Linked DNA regions of Diceros bicornis minor. The protein of the gene in region 2 interacts with the protein of the main gene of each other region in a pairwise test. Links are inferred from orthologs where the notes say so. Each region holds a gene or a part of one and is shown on either strand. Other genes may lie near its edges.

What was found. The genes of interacting proteins can lie anywhere in the genome.
Region 1: the proteins of NECAB2 (region 2) and NEK6 interact in binary tests that used the Homo sapiens proteins (3 or more experiments, as listed by UniProt). The link is inferred for Diceros bicornis minor from reciprocal best matches to the Homo sapiens genes NECAB2 and NEK6.

The regions. Positions count from the first base shown.
Region 1 is NC_080767.1:32,843,261-32,850,160, reverse strand, and holds the start of NEK6 (serine/threonine-protein kinase Nek6), read right to left. Parts: upstream 3,012-6,900; 5' UTR 2,945-3,011; intron 2,509-2,944; exon of another isoform or gene 2,427-2,508; intron 1-2,426. UniProt on the Homo sapiens protein: Protein kinase which plays an important role in mitotic cell cycle progression. Required for chromosome segregation at metaphase-anaphase transition, robust mitotic spindle formation and cytokinesis.
Region 2 is NC_080771.1:33,091,586-33,098,999, reverse strand, and holds the start of NECAB2 (N-terminal EF-hand calcium-binding protein 2), read right to left. Parts: upstream 3,022-7,414; coding exon 2,803-3,021; intron 236-2,802; coding exon 211-235; intron 1-210. Other genes in the region: OSGIN1 (oxidative stress-induced growth inhibitor 1), read right to left, coding at 4,782-5,730. UniProt on the Homo sapiens protein: May act as a signaling scaffold protein that senses intracellular calcium.

The DNA.
Region 1 (6,900 bases), on a different chromosome or scaffold from region 2:
ATCATGATTGTTCCCATCGCACAGTGCGGGTGAGTGGATTGAGCGGGACACGGCACTTAAAGCTTTCAGTACCCTTCGTGGCACATGGTATACCCTCAATAAATGGTGGCCACTGGTTGTAGCAATACTTTCATAAAATTACACACATTGTTTCATCCCTCTGAGCCCCGGTTTTCTCATCTGTAAAATGGAGACAGAATCCCCTACCTCCCAGTGAAAATTAAATGCATGGATGCCTGTTAAAGCACTCAGCACACAGTCTGTGCACCTTCAGAAGGCACATGTCATGCTCCCGGGGGAATGGAAAGAGGATGGGCGTGAAGTCAGGCAGGTGACAGGAATCTGTGTCCCAGGACACAGGCTTGACCCCTCTGAGCCTCAGTTCCTTGTGCACATAAAACCGAAAGCCATTCTCTGCAGGATGACTATCCTGCAGCCCTTCTCTCCGCACGCAGTGGGTGCTCCATAAATGTGACTTCTCTTTCCCTTTCCCTGTTCGTTCCTTGCTCAAAGCCACCAGCAGTGCCACCTGGCAAAGCCAGGAGCTCCGTTTCTTGAAACCCGAACGGCCCTAAATCCAGACCAACCTGGGCTGCTGCTTAAGTCTGAGACTCTGTCTTGTGAAGACAGAAACTACTTTTTAGTCATTTCCGAAGCAGACGGGACGCAGGGGCTGACAAACCACAGGGACCATTTTAAATCCTGGGCTTTTCTTCTGGGAAGTTAGGCAAGAACCTTCCCAAATGTTTGCCCGTGGGGCTCTCTGCCAGGGAGTGACTCATCCGCAGCTCCCCACAGGCATATTTTATTTGGGGGTGGGGGATAGAGGGAGGGCTTGGCCTTGCTGGGGGAAGGGGAGGCGGCATTTCCAGCAAATCCAGAAGGTGTTGTTTTTCATTTTTTAGGACAAAAAGAAAAAGAATGTGGGTCTTTTTTGTTTCCTTCCAGGTTTTGTTTGCTAAAAGACCACGTTCAAAGTTCACTCGGTAAGCTGCCGTGTTGGGAACAGGCGCCTCCAGCCAGCTCTGCATCCCTTTCAATGAAATTCTTCTTCCATTAACGCTACGGTTTTTAAATGGGCCTCCCAGGTTTGCCTGCGCAGACACTGAGCTCCTAAGACGACATTTTCCCCTCGGAAAGGAGAGCTGAATTTTGACAATTCAGAGGAACGAGGGAGCTCCAGACTTTCTGAAGTTTGCCTTAAAGCAATTAAGACTTTCGACTGCAGAGATTTTCAACGTTCATAAAGCCCCCAAAAACCTGTCAGTCAAACCTACAAGGACAGACCTTGGAAGACAGTGTCCCAAGCCTGCTGTGATCAATTTGTTATTGTCTCGGGGCTTTCACATGGAGCCCAGGCTGGATACAAATAAATCAGATGCATACGTATCTACTCAGGGAGGCAGGCAGAGGGAGACCCCCAGATACACAGACAAGCGACTCCAGACCCCTGGTCTCCCCGGGGGGTGAGCCCCCCAGGGAACCAGGGCCAGAGAGGGGCAAGAACAAAGCCAGGGGACCCAGAGGGCACTTAGGAAGAACTGAACACAAGTCCTCCAGTGCCAGGCCCATCACAGCCGCAGCCCAGCCTGTGCGCCCTGGAGTCCCACAGATGGTCCTGCCAGTGGCCCTGCCCCGGCCTGGCTCTGGGGCCACGCCCCCTGCCAGGCCCAGCAGGGATCTGTGGGTCTGACCTCTGGCTCTTCACTCACCAAACAAGGCCCGGCACCCACTGGGTGCCCGCCAGGCCTGCTTCTCTCCACGGGCCCCCTGCATGGGGGCCAGCTGTGGGCACATCACGTAGCAGGCCCGGTAGGCACAAAGGGGGGCCCTCAGCCTCCATAATAAACACACACACACACTCCTGGACACAAATTACACGCTCACATCCACATACACACACTTTTGTCCTCACAGGCTCACAAACGCGCACACAAATCACTTGTGAACACTCATGCACGTGCATGCACACACACATACTCCCTGAATCCACACAGAGTGGGTCACAAAATGAGAATACACGAGAAGCCCCTGGCACACTCCTTGGCACAGAGAACACACTCAGTAAACGGATAAGGGGGAGCCATGCCCATTCCCCCGCACTCGTTCACACCAAACAACACAACCCTGACACGCCGATGTGCACACGCACACACTCCTGCGAACACAGCCCCGGGGACAGCTGGACACGCCGCCCACGCACGCTTGGACGCACGGCCGCGGACACACTCAGACTCGCACGCTCACACGCGCCCCGACCTCACGCGTGCACAGCCGCCCGCTCTCCCCCGCGGAGCCCCGGGCGCGCGCGCGGGCACGCGCACCCCGCTCGGCCCGGGTGTGGGTGACGGCCCCGCGGCCCGGCCCCCGCCCCTTCCCCGGCCTGCGCCGGCCCGATCCGGCCGGCCCGGCCCCAGGCCACTCACCGGCGCGCGGGCGGGCTCGGCTGCCGGCGGGAGGCGCGGCGCGCGGACGGCGGGCGCCGGCGGCAGCGGCGGGTCCCACACGAGTCGGCGGCGCCGCGGCCGCACGCTCGTCCGCTCGGTTCCGCCGCCGCCTGCGCGGGCTCGCGCGCGCGCTCCCGCCCCTCCCCGCCGCGGGCCCGCGCCGCCCCCTGCGCTCGTGCGCGCTGCCGCCACGCAGGCTCGGGGGGCGCCCCCGCGGCGCCCTCGCCGCGCCGGGATCCCTCCACTGCCCCCAGCGTTTTGGGCAGCGAGTGGTCCGCTCAGCCGAGGCGCCCCCTCCCCGTTTCAGAGATGGGGAAACTGAGGCCCAAGCTCACACCGCGAGTCGGGCCCAGTATCTCCCCCTCTTCTCGGGCTCTAGACCCTTAGGGTTAGAGTCTGCACTCAGCCAACCCCGGGGACCCCTCCCACGCACTGTTGAGTACCCATCGCCTGACACTGCTCCCATCACAGCCCCGGTTGCACTGAAATGGGCTAACCAACGAGCGCTTATTTACGCCTGCTGAATGTGGGCACGAAGCAGGCTCCGAAAGTATGTCGATGTGGTGAAGGTGCTGCTCCCCGCCCTCAGCGCCAACGTCTCCCCGTCTGGCGCTCCCCGCTTCCTGTGGATCCCAGAACCAGCACGTCAATGTGCAGAGGTTTCTGGAAGAAGTCAGACTCCCCTAATGAATGCTTGTCACACCCTCTAAGGAGACAGTCTCCATGGGGGCCCAAGGGCAGCAGCTCAGTTCCCCGCCTCACTTCCTAAGGGGACCCGCCCCCCCCCGCCCCCCCAAAAGGGGACGCTCCTGGCTCGGACAGTTCCTGTTTCCACACTTGCTGCTTCTCCACCACATGCAAAACTGCCGGAACCAGAGACTGACACTGCCTGCCTGCCAGCTGCCCAGCTTGATCATAGCGCTGTGCTGGGTGCAGGCGGATGCCCGCTGGGCCTCGTTTGCCCGGTGAGTGAACATGTTTCCACTGGCTGTGAGCTATAACAATAATGTCACCCACTGAACCCCCGCTGTGTGCGGGACTCGCGGCTGCACGCTCTGCCTGCCTTGTGGTGTTCAGTCCCGCCGCTAGTCTCAGAAGGAGTCATTATGCTACTTTCGTGCCCATTTTACAGCAAACGAGGCTTAGAACTGAAGCTTAGAGAAGCAAATTCTCTTGCCCAAAGTCACCCAGCTGGTAAGTGGTTGAGCTAGAAGCTGGACCGCAGATTGTCTACTTCCAGTGCCTGTGTGCCTAATCTACGCAGTCTCACCTCATGAGCAGCATAGCTCTGGGCTGCTGGTGTAAGAAGGGGCAGACCGGGCAGCAGCCGATCCAGAGGAGCCAGCCCAGTCCAGCCCTTCCACGAACCAACAGGGATGAAATGGATCACTCTGCACATTGGTTAGCTGTTTAATTGGGGATCTGTTTACAACCTCACCTCGCATGATATACCTTGCAGTAAATGTCAGATAGATGAAGATTGAAGAGTTAAATATGAGAAATAAACATTGCAAAAAGTAATCGAAAGACAGAAGTTCTGAGACAGTGTGTTGCAGTGTTACTAGCGGATCAGTGATATTGGCTATACTCGTGCAGCAAACATTAGTTCATTCATTCATTCACCGGACACGTATCCACAAACGCCTTCTATGGGACGGGTACTATTCTAGGCACTGGGATATGCTCGCGAACAAAATATAACCCTGACTCTCTTAGGGCTTCCATCTGGGAGTGGGGGCTGGGAGGAAGAAAAGTACCTGGCATGATGAGGATAATAAGTCTGGTGGAGAAAATAAAGCAGAGAAGGGGGAGGAGAGCCCAGGAGCGCTTTTTCATAGCGGTGCTGGGAGAAGGCCTCTCTGATGAGGTGACATTTGAGCAGAGCCCTGTATGAGGGGAAGTGACTAGGACAGGCCCCATGCTCCGAGACCCGTCCTGGTACGCTACAGAGCAAGAACCTGAAATTCCCCTTTGAAGGAAACTCGGGGAGCAGCACCAGACCACTGGGGCCCTGGCAAGTATCTGTGTAAAACTCTACCATTTGCAAAGCCCCTTTCCAGCCTCACAGAGCCCCTGTAACAGGTACTCCTAGTGTCCTCATTTTCCAGTTAGGAAACGGAGGCCCAGAGCGGTCAAGCAATGTGCCCCAGGTCACACAGCCAGCCACAATCAACAGAGATGGGTCTGGCTGCAGGCCAGCTGATGGCTGCTGCTGAGTGCTAGGGGAATGAAGAAGTCCTTCCAGCCCCTTCCTTCCCTCTTGGACTATAATTCAGGAATGGGAGGGGGTGGCCCAGGCTTTTGCTGTAGGTTTCTAGAAACAGGAGGGTGCAGCAGCAGGACTGTGGGAGAGGGGATGGGAGAAGTCATCTCCACCCCGTTTTCCTGGCCTTCCTCCTCCTCGCCCCCTACTTCCTACCCTTTGGCCTGGTCCCAGCCCCTGGTGACATGCTGGGGGAAAAATAGGTTAAATTCTGCCCAGAGACCCTCCAGACTCCCTGCACTCCCCCCACTCTCCTGGCCAGGGCAGGGGGTGGAGGGAAAAGGTACGACGCAACCTGAGCCCCACTCAACTTTTGTTTTTAACTCAAAGGATTTTTCAGCGAGTCCCCAAATGAGTCACCTCGAAGAGGTGCTTCGCAAAATGACTCCCAGAATTAGAATCAACGTCTCCCTGCGCACGGGGCTGACACTTCCTCCCGCAGTGGCGTCTGTGACTCTGGTCTGGGAGAAAGGCGCTCTCTGTGCACCCCCCAGAGTTTCTGGATGAAGCCTGTGTCGTTTCATTATTTCTCTGCGTTAGGGGAAGGGCAGCCAGTCTTCCTGGGCATCTTCTCCGAGCCCGGCTCTGCGTGAGGCATTTCATTCTCGCAGTGTCCCTCCAGATGGGTCAGAATTTCTGTCTTACAGATGAAGAAGCTGAGGTTCAGAGAAGTCAGGTGGTTTGAACACAGCCAGGATCTGAACCCGGTTTACCCAAAGCCTCTATTCTTGTCAGTATTTGGGGGAGGGGTAGTGGGGGGGAAGGGGGGGTGAAGTATTAGAATCAGACCATGTTCCTTTGAAGGCCCTTGTCCAAATGTCTTCTCGCCAGCCTCCTGACAATAATTTTTGTGGGGGGCTAGTCTTGGTTTTCCCAGGAAGTCTGGTTTGTGCTTGTCGCCGGGGCATGATTATTAATAGCACCACTTTCACTCCAAAAGTGTCTCGATTTGGATAATTCACTTTAGGGTCGCCCTGGTTGTTTGCAAATGTCATCGTGTTGGGGGATTCAGATTTTATATTATATCAAATACAAAATGGGGGCCTCTTGTCTGCTGGACCTTCTCCGCATCCTGATGTGTGCATAGCTGACCAAGAACTTTCACAAGAGTTCATGGGGCTTTTTGGGAGCAGCAAACCCAGCTGGCTGGGGAAGGAATCAGGACTTGGGACTCCCTCCCACCCCAGCTCTGCCAGTCCCTTCCCCACTGGCCCCCAGCTATCTCCTTCTTTTCTCTGGAGGGAACCAGTGTTGCCAAACACACCGTTCCCAGACAGAGTGTTTTGTGTGAGTGTGTGTGTATATATGTGGGTGTATGTGTATTTTTTTTTCTTTTCCTATTTTTAGCCCAAGTGATAGTATCTGATCCACGCTGCTGAACACCTTGTGTTTTCTTCACTTCTTGGAGATCACTTCCTATCACTCCATGGACAGCTATTTCCTTTTTTATGACTGCATAGTATTTCAGAATATTTGTATTTAATCCACGTTTAGCAAGTACCTGCTCTGTGTACCATTCTAAGCAACTTGGGAGATAATGGAATTTTCAGCCACAGCCCCTGCCCTCAGGACTTACAGTCTGGTTGGGGGACAAGAAAAATAGAAAATATTGGAGGGATGTAGAAGAGCATTTTCTCCAATGGCCCCCAAGTTCATTTATGAGGTTTGGCTTTGGGGCTGATATATATATATTTTAATTCTTAGCTCCAGGTATCTGTAGGGTTGTTGAAAGAGTGCAGGCATGGGTTCTTTTGAGACTTGAAAACTCAAGTTGCAAGTTCGGGCCATCCGTCTCATTCTGGGCCTCAGTTTGCTCGTCTGTAAAATGGGGGCAGTCAGCCTCTGTCACAGGATTGCAGTGATCACATGAAATTGTATTCCTGAGAATACTTGGTGAAGAGTTAAATGCTGTGCTCCGGGGCTGGAAGATCTGCAGAGGCTAAGACGAGGCTCTAAGGCAGGGTACGTTAGTGCAGGTGTCCTGGCTCTTCCTGGTAAGCCTTTCATGCTTTGCTGATCCTGTGATACAGCCTGCTGAACAGTTCTCTCCTCCCACCTTTCACAGCTACGGTCACGAACTCCGAGTCCGCTACAGGCTTGACACGGTAGACCCAACACCCAGGAGGCCCCAGAATGTGGAAACAACACAGGTTAACCGTCTCAGGGAGGGCCTTCGGGGATTGTTATTCC
Region 2 (7,414 bases):
ATCCCTACTAAGTAGGCACTGTGGGAGTCCCACTGTACACATGGGGAAACTGAGGTGCAGAGCCAGGATCCAGCCTTCAGACTTCAGAGTCCTGCACTCTTAACCTTTAGGTTTGAGGTAGTCCATGTCTCTACATCTGACCCCTTTCCCTGAAGCATCTGGACAGAGAACCAAGTCCTCATTCAGGGACGGTGGGGGAGGGAAACTCACCATTTTTGTCTGCTCGGCGGAAAATCTGCAGAGAAGAGAGGTCGAGTCAGCCTGGGCCGAGCCGGGCAGGCGCCCTCCAGCGGTTCTGACCGGTAGTGAGACCCCACTCGTCCCCCGCGGGCCTGGGGAAGCTGAGCCTCACCCCCTCCCCAGCGAGGAGACCCCGGCTGGGATCCAGGGGCGGGGAAGGGACGTTTCAGGCGGAGACCGCCCCAGCCGCCCGCGCGGAAGCAGCCACCCACTCCCTTCTGTGCCGCCAGCCTGCCCACGGCCACGCCGACACACACGCACACGCGCGTGGACACGCTCACACCCATCCACACGCCTGCGGGTGGACTTCCAGAGCTATCGGTCCACGTGGCTTCACCCACTGTCCTGTGCTCAGTCGCACACTCAGAATTGTGTCCCATGGGCGCAGCCACACGCCTTACACCATTGCACCCCTCCCAGAACCCCTGGGGAGCCCCGGTTTTCTCCAGGGAGGTTGGGTTAAGTCTGAAGGAAGGGGTCTGCTAACAGAACCTCGAGACCTGGCGAGTGGACCAGCCGCGGGCAGGGCTGGATTATTTTGGGGGTGGGGGAGTGGGTGGAAGTAGGCAGTAGGGAACCAGCTGCAGATGCAAAGTTCTGGCTGCATCATGAGGGGCTGGAGGCAGGGCACGCCTCCCCCCCCCCCCGCCCCCCCCCCCCCCCCGCCCCCTCCAAGCCTCAGGTGAGACCAGATAACTCCTTCTCTTGTTATTTTTGGGACCAGGTAAGCCATGCTGATTGATTGAGGAGGGGGAGGGGGAGGGGGAGGGGGAGGGCCCCCCCATGACCACCCCATCTTTGGTCCTTGCCTTGGTGCCAAGGGAGGATGCCCCCCCATCCTTCCACCAATGGGGCGGGCATCCATTATCAGGCCCCTGGGGCTGGGACAGACTGAAGCAGCAGCTCAGGGAGGGCTTCTGGAACATCACCCCCCTCCCTCAGCTGAACCCCGAGTCCAGGGCACCAGGCGGAACCCACTGTGGCTGGAGCAGAAAGGGAGGCAGTTATGGGACCACTCCAGGCCCTCCTCAAAGCCCCAGCCTGGGCGCCCCACACCCCTGCTCCTGACTGTGAGGTTCCTGAGGCCGGGGTCCCACCCTCAGGTGCCTGCTCTGGGCCGGGGTGTTAAACAAGGGAATGACAGGACCACAGGGATGCGGCTCGAGGAGTCTGCACCAGCCTGTGAGCCCCGACGCCCGCTCATCACCCCATTTCACAGAGGAGGAAATGCAGACTCAGAGCCCACACACCGCCAGCATGAGGACTCGAAGCCCACCTCCCGACTGTCAGAGAGAATCAGGAGGGGTCGGTGCAGGCTTCCCTACGAGGGCAGGCTTGCGTCTCCGGACCCTGTGGCCCTGGGCTTTCAGCGTGAACTCCGCTGGGGTTGAGAGGAGAGAGAGAGGGAGGGAGGGGGAGAGAGAGAGAGGGGGAGAGGGAGGGGGGGTCTAGCTGTGTAAGTGTGTGTCGGGCTGTGTGTGTGTGTTTGGGGGCACTGGAGCCACAAGCACTCAGAGCACAGCTCCCTTTCCCTACCCAGTCCTCTCCACCCAGAGTCAACTACGGTTTCCAGAAGAGAGGAGACCCACGGTCCCCCCACTCATAGGGCCGTGCAGTACACACACACAACACTCCCAGAAAGCCACCACACACACGTGAAGCACCCCATCCTGCGGCCACCCCCACCACAAAAGGACCCTCACTGGGACATGCATGTCCCACCACCCGTGATCTCACTGGGGGGCAGGAACCCCAGAATGAAGAAGTTTCCCACGGGGCGGCCATCCACCCTGTAGAATCTCTCTCCCACCCGGGGGAGTGCGTGGGGGGGGGGTGAAGTGGAGCTTTGAGTCCCAGAGGGGACTGGGGGGGGGCGGTGAATAGAGGGAGGGTGGGAAGGGAATGGGGGACAGAGGGGCCTAGGAGTGCAGTGGGGGTGGCTGGGGGGAGCCCAGGGGGTCCGGGATCAGCGAAGATGGGGGTGGTTTGGCTCCACTGAAAGGGGAGGGGAAGACAGCTGGGGAGGGGGCTTCACTTTTAAAGAGGCTGTGTCGGAGCGAAAGGGGAATACCGGGCTCAGAGTCTAAAGCCAGGACGAGAAAGCCGGCACCTAAAGCCCGGGGGGGGGGGGGGGGTTGTCTCTCAGAAAAGTAGCGACTCGGCAGGGATCCGGGGTGGAGAGGAGGAGGGGGCTCCGGTCTCAGGAGGGGATGAGAGTAAAGAGCGAGGCGCGGGGCTGGGGAAAAGACGACGGTTTGGCCAGCACAGAAGTAGGGGGGCAGTGGCCGGGGCGACGGGCTCCAGAGTCCCGGCTCCGGGAAGGTGGGGGTCCCGAGAAGTGAAGGGAGGTTGGTGGAAGGAGAGGTCGTCCTGGTTCGGGGACAGACCCCGGCCGGGACGTGACGGGCTGGGGGCTCGCGCTCTGGGGCGCAGAGGGGGATGGGTCGGGGTCGTCTGCGCAGGGAGGAGAGGACGCGGGTCGGGGCGGGGACCCGGGAGGGCGGCGTCGGGGTCGCCCCCGAGAGAGGAGGGGACTCGGGGTCCCGGCCAGCGCGTACTCACGTCCAGGATGACGGCGGTGCCCCCGCGCGGCGAGGCGGGGCCGGGGCCGGGGTCCGCGGAAGGGGCGGCGGGGGCGTCGGGGGCCAGCGGCGCCCGGGGCTCGCCCATCCTGGCGCCCACCCAGCGCAGCAGCCCGCCCAGCGCCCGGCCCTGCGGCGGCGGCTCCCGGAGCAGCCTGTGCGCGCCGGCCCTGCACAGGCGCGCCGCCCGCTCGCACATCGCGCCGCGCCCGCCGCCGCCGCCGCCGCCCGGAAGCCCGCCGACCCCCGCCCGGCCCGCGGCCCGCCCCCGCGCGACCCCCTCCCCGCGCCGCCCGCGCGCCCCGCCCTCCCGCTCTCGGCCCCCACGGCCGCGGCCACCGCGGGGACGGGCCGCCTCCGGGGAAGGAGGGGGAGGGGGGCGCTCCGCCCGGACCCCGAGCCACGTGCCCCGTGTCCACACCCCCCTCCCCCCACTCCCGCGGCCAGGCGCGGCGGCAGGGGGCTGCCCGCCCGGAGCGCGAGGCCTGGCGGCTGGACCCCGGCCCGGCCGCATGGGGGGGTGTTGCGCTGCCCAGTAGGCACGGGGTTGGTGGGGGTCTGGCTGCGTGGGGGGCATCCCTGGGGGCTGCCCTCCCGAAGGTCCCCCCACCCCACCCGTGGCGCCGCCGCAGGGGCCGGAGCTCAGGTGTCCGGCGAGCCTGGAGCGCCCTCTGCCGGCTCCAGCTCCCGAGATGAGTGCCCACGCGCGCGGGCTCCCCCATCACTCCCACTGACACCTACTCCTCCCTCCCGGGGGCGTGCATGCTCCCCCAGACCTCCGCCTCCCATTACACAAAGACCGGAACCAGGCTGCGCCCCAGAACATCCTCTTCCCCTCACACTCCATCCATCCATCCATCATCCACCCATCCATCATCCGTCCATCCATCATCCATCCATCCATCCATCCACTGGTCCAAAGGATTAGTTAGGGAGCACCCGATAGGTGCTAGGCCCCAGACCCTGTGCTAGGCGCCGGATTCCAATAATGGGCAAAACAGACTGGGTCCTTGGCCTCCGGGAGCTTACATCCAAGTGGGTGGAGCCAGATACTGGAACCATTTCACAAATAAATAAACCATTACAACTGAACTGCCATAAAGAGGTGGCACTTTGGGCCATGAGTGAAGGATTTGTCCTGGTGGCCATGTGGCCCTGGAGGGGTCTTCGTCAGAAGAGGCTTCCTAGAGGAGGTGATCCTTATGCTGAGAGAGTGGAAGAAGAGGAGAAAGAGGAAGAGAGAGGAGGGAAAATGCCCTGGGCTAGAGACCAGCCTGTGCAAAGGCCCTGCAGCAGGTACAAGCCTGATGAGGAACTGAAAGGAGACAGTGTGGCTGGAACCAAGTGGGAGAGCAGCAGGGACTAGGTTGGAGGGGTGGGAGGGCTGCAGAAGGCTCCCCAGCACCTCGTTTCTCCACACCCTCCCCTCACTTCTCTACATAGCTGTCCCCCACTTGGGGCACCATCCCTTATCTCCCAACCCCCCAGTCCAAGGACTTCCTCCTACATGGCCCTGTGCCCTCCCCCCAGCTCCCAGAGAAGGGTCCTGGGCATCGGGCCCCTCCCCAAGCGTAGAATCCTCAGACACATGAGTGGAGGCAGGCTCTGGTTTTATTTGGGACCTGATTCTGGAACGAGCGGGGCCTGGAGTCCTCCTGGCGTGGTGCTCAGCTGGCCCTGGTGATCCCTGCTCAGGCTGGCAGCTTTCGCCCCACTCACAGGTCTGGGCCTGCCTCGGCCTGTGGCCACTGTTCCTGAGCCCTGGCCTGAGTCCGGGCAGCCTGGCCTCCCCACTCCTCTTCGTTGGTGAGGCCGCCTCCTGGGCTTGTGGCCGCTCCTGTCTCCTGCCAGGAGAGGTCTCCTTCTCTCACTGGGCATCTTGGGATGGCCTGTGTCTGCAGGGCTGTGGTGATCTCCCTGCCTCTTTAGGGCCTGGGTGCGAGGATGCCAGGCCGGGTGCTAGGGCGGCCTCCTGGCCTCCTTCCTCAGCAGGGAGCTGGCCACGGCCAGGGCCCCACCCTGGACAAACCGCACAAAGTTGTCCCCGGCCAGCGGCCCCACGGCATACAGGCCCTCCTGCTGGGTGCTCTGGTAGGTGAAGGGGTCCACATCGATGGGGTTCCTCTTCGCGCTCAGTGGCTGGTCAGGGTCCATGGCAAGGTCAGTGCCCGCCCCGGGGAGGAAGGAGAGGTCGGGGTGGGAGCCAATGAGGACCAGCACCAGGGAGATGCCGAAGACCTTCTGGAGGCCCGTGGGGTCCCGGAACACGGCCTGGCGGTCCTCCTTGAAGAGCAGCAGCTGGTGCTCGGGGAGGCTGCGGTAGCCCTCGTAGGGGCTGGGCAACAGGATGGACTGCTCCCGCATCATCTGGTGCACCTTGTGGTACTCGGGGTACAGCATCTTGGGCAGCTGGTTGAACACCAGGCCGGGGTCGTCCACGGGCCGGCGGAAGGCGTGGATCACCGGGATGTTGTAGTGGCGGGCGTAGAGGACCGCGTCGGCCGCCGACAGCCCTGCCCCGATGATGAGGATGGGGTCTGAGGCCGGGGTCACCATGCCCGCCCGTGTGGCCACCTCCAGGGCCGACAGCTCGTGGTGCACGAAGGGCAGGGCCTCCCCGGGGATGCCCAGCCGGGCCGGGCTGTCCGACGTGCCTGTGGCCAGCACCACGTTGCGGGCGCACAGGGAGAAGGGCTGCTGACTCCGGTCCTCGGCCGTCAGGAAGCCGCTCACCTGGAAGAGGGGGCTGGGGTCCTGGGCCCCGGAGCCACTGGGCTCAGGTATCCCCCACTCCACGGCCGTGACCACGGCGCCAGACACGAAGTTGTGGCCCAGGCCTTTCTTGGTCACGTAATTCCTGTAGTAGTGAGCGATGTCCCCGGCTGTAGCCCGGCTGTTGCGAAGACCTCTGGGGGGAAGGACATGGGAGGGTGAGCGTCAGAGAGTGGACTGGGGTGTGGGGGCCATCAGGCGACTGGGGATGGCCAGGCTGGAGTCAGGCCCTAGAGCCAGACAGTGGCTGTGCCACCCGCCAGCCATAGGACTTGCCCAAGTGGTTTGACCTCTTGGAACCTCAGTCTCTTCTTCTGTAAAATGAGACTGATCAGGGTACCTCATTAGGGTGAGTGTGGGCCTCACCCTAAAGGGGTTCAGAGTGTGGCCTCTAGAGCCAGACGGCCTGGGGTCAAATCCTGGCTCTGCTGCTGGTGAGCTGTGTGCCTGAAACTCTCTGTGCCTCAGTTTCCTCATTTGCAGCATGAGGGTGACGATGGTGACAGTACCTACTTTGTGCGGTTGTTGAGAGGATTCGATGATGATATAAACAAAGAGCTTAGAATAGGGCCTGACAGGTAGTGAGTGACATATAAGAGTCATAAGAGTTGGCCATTATTGTTACCTCGAAGGATTAAATAATACTCCACATAAATATGGTAGGATTCCATTTTTATGAAGTTCAGATAAAATTAACCTATGGAGTTAGAGGTCAAGAGTGGTCACTTCTGGGGAGGGGGTGGGGGCGGGGACTGGGAGGAGGGGCTCCTGGGGACAGGGTGTCTGTTTCTTGATTCCTGGTGGTTGGAAGGCAGCTGGGTCCACTTTGGGACATTGCGTCCCCCAGCATGCACGTGAGCAGTGTGCTTTGCTGTACGTAGGCTATAATTCAGTAAACGAGTGGATTAAAAATAACCCACGTAAAGCACTTTGCACAGTCCCCAGCTCACACAGTAACAGCAGGGATGATTTTATTATTGCAATTATTATTCCCACCCCCTCTGGGGCCGGGACTGTGGGGCCAGCACTGCTGGTGTCTGAGGTCCAGGCTTTGCGTCATCTCAGCTCCTCCCTACGTCTAGCTGTGTGGCCTTAGGTGAGTTACTTTCCCCAACTGTGGATATACTGTTAGGGATGAACTCACTTAATGGGAATCCTGTGTGACGCGCCACCATGATCAATTGTCACGAGCTCAGACCACATCCCCCGTGGCCACTCCAGCCAACCCAACTCGTTAGTCTGCTACTGAAACTGGAACTGTGGAATTTATTTCTGTGGGTTTGTCATTTCTCTTTCTCTGTTTTAGTAAAAATTATTTTGAAGGGCTGTCCTAAGAAGATGTTACATATGGGCTTATTGATAATAATGCACATTGGAAAGAATGAAGCCCCATGACTGGGCCTGGTCTGGGGACCGTGGCAGCACCACGAGGGCAGGGAGCCCATCTGTTGTGGGTTTGGGCTCCGACATCTAAGCACAAGGCCCGACATGTAGGGAATATTCAGTGGAGATACTGGCTCCCTCGGGAATATTAGGTGGCCGCGTAAAGGATGGTGCAAACACTGTAATCGCCACATGCAATGCTGTGACATCGTGTTCAATTTTAAGAGTAGGATATGGAAGAGTCCGTCTACAAATGAAGTTTAAATCCTGTCTGTCTGTTAGCAAACACATCACTAACAAGCCCGGATGTCTCCCTACCACATCTGCAGGGACAAAAGTCTTTGTGTCAAAGAGACAGACAGTGGACCCCAGAGAGGTGGAGTGCCTGGTGGGTGGGGGCGACAGGCCTCCCCTGCGCCCGTCACAGCCCCCGAGGG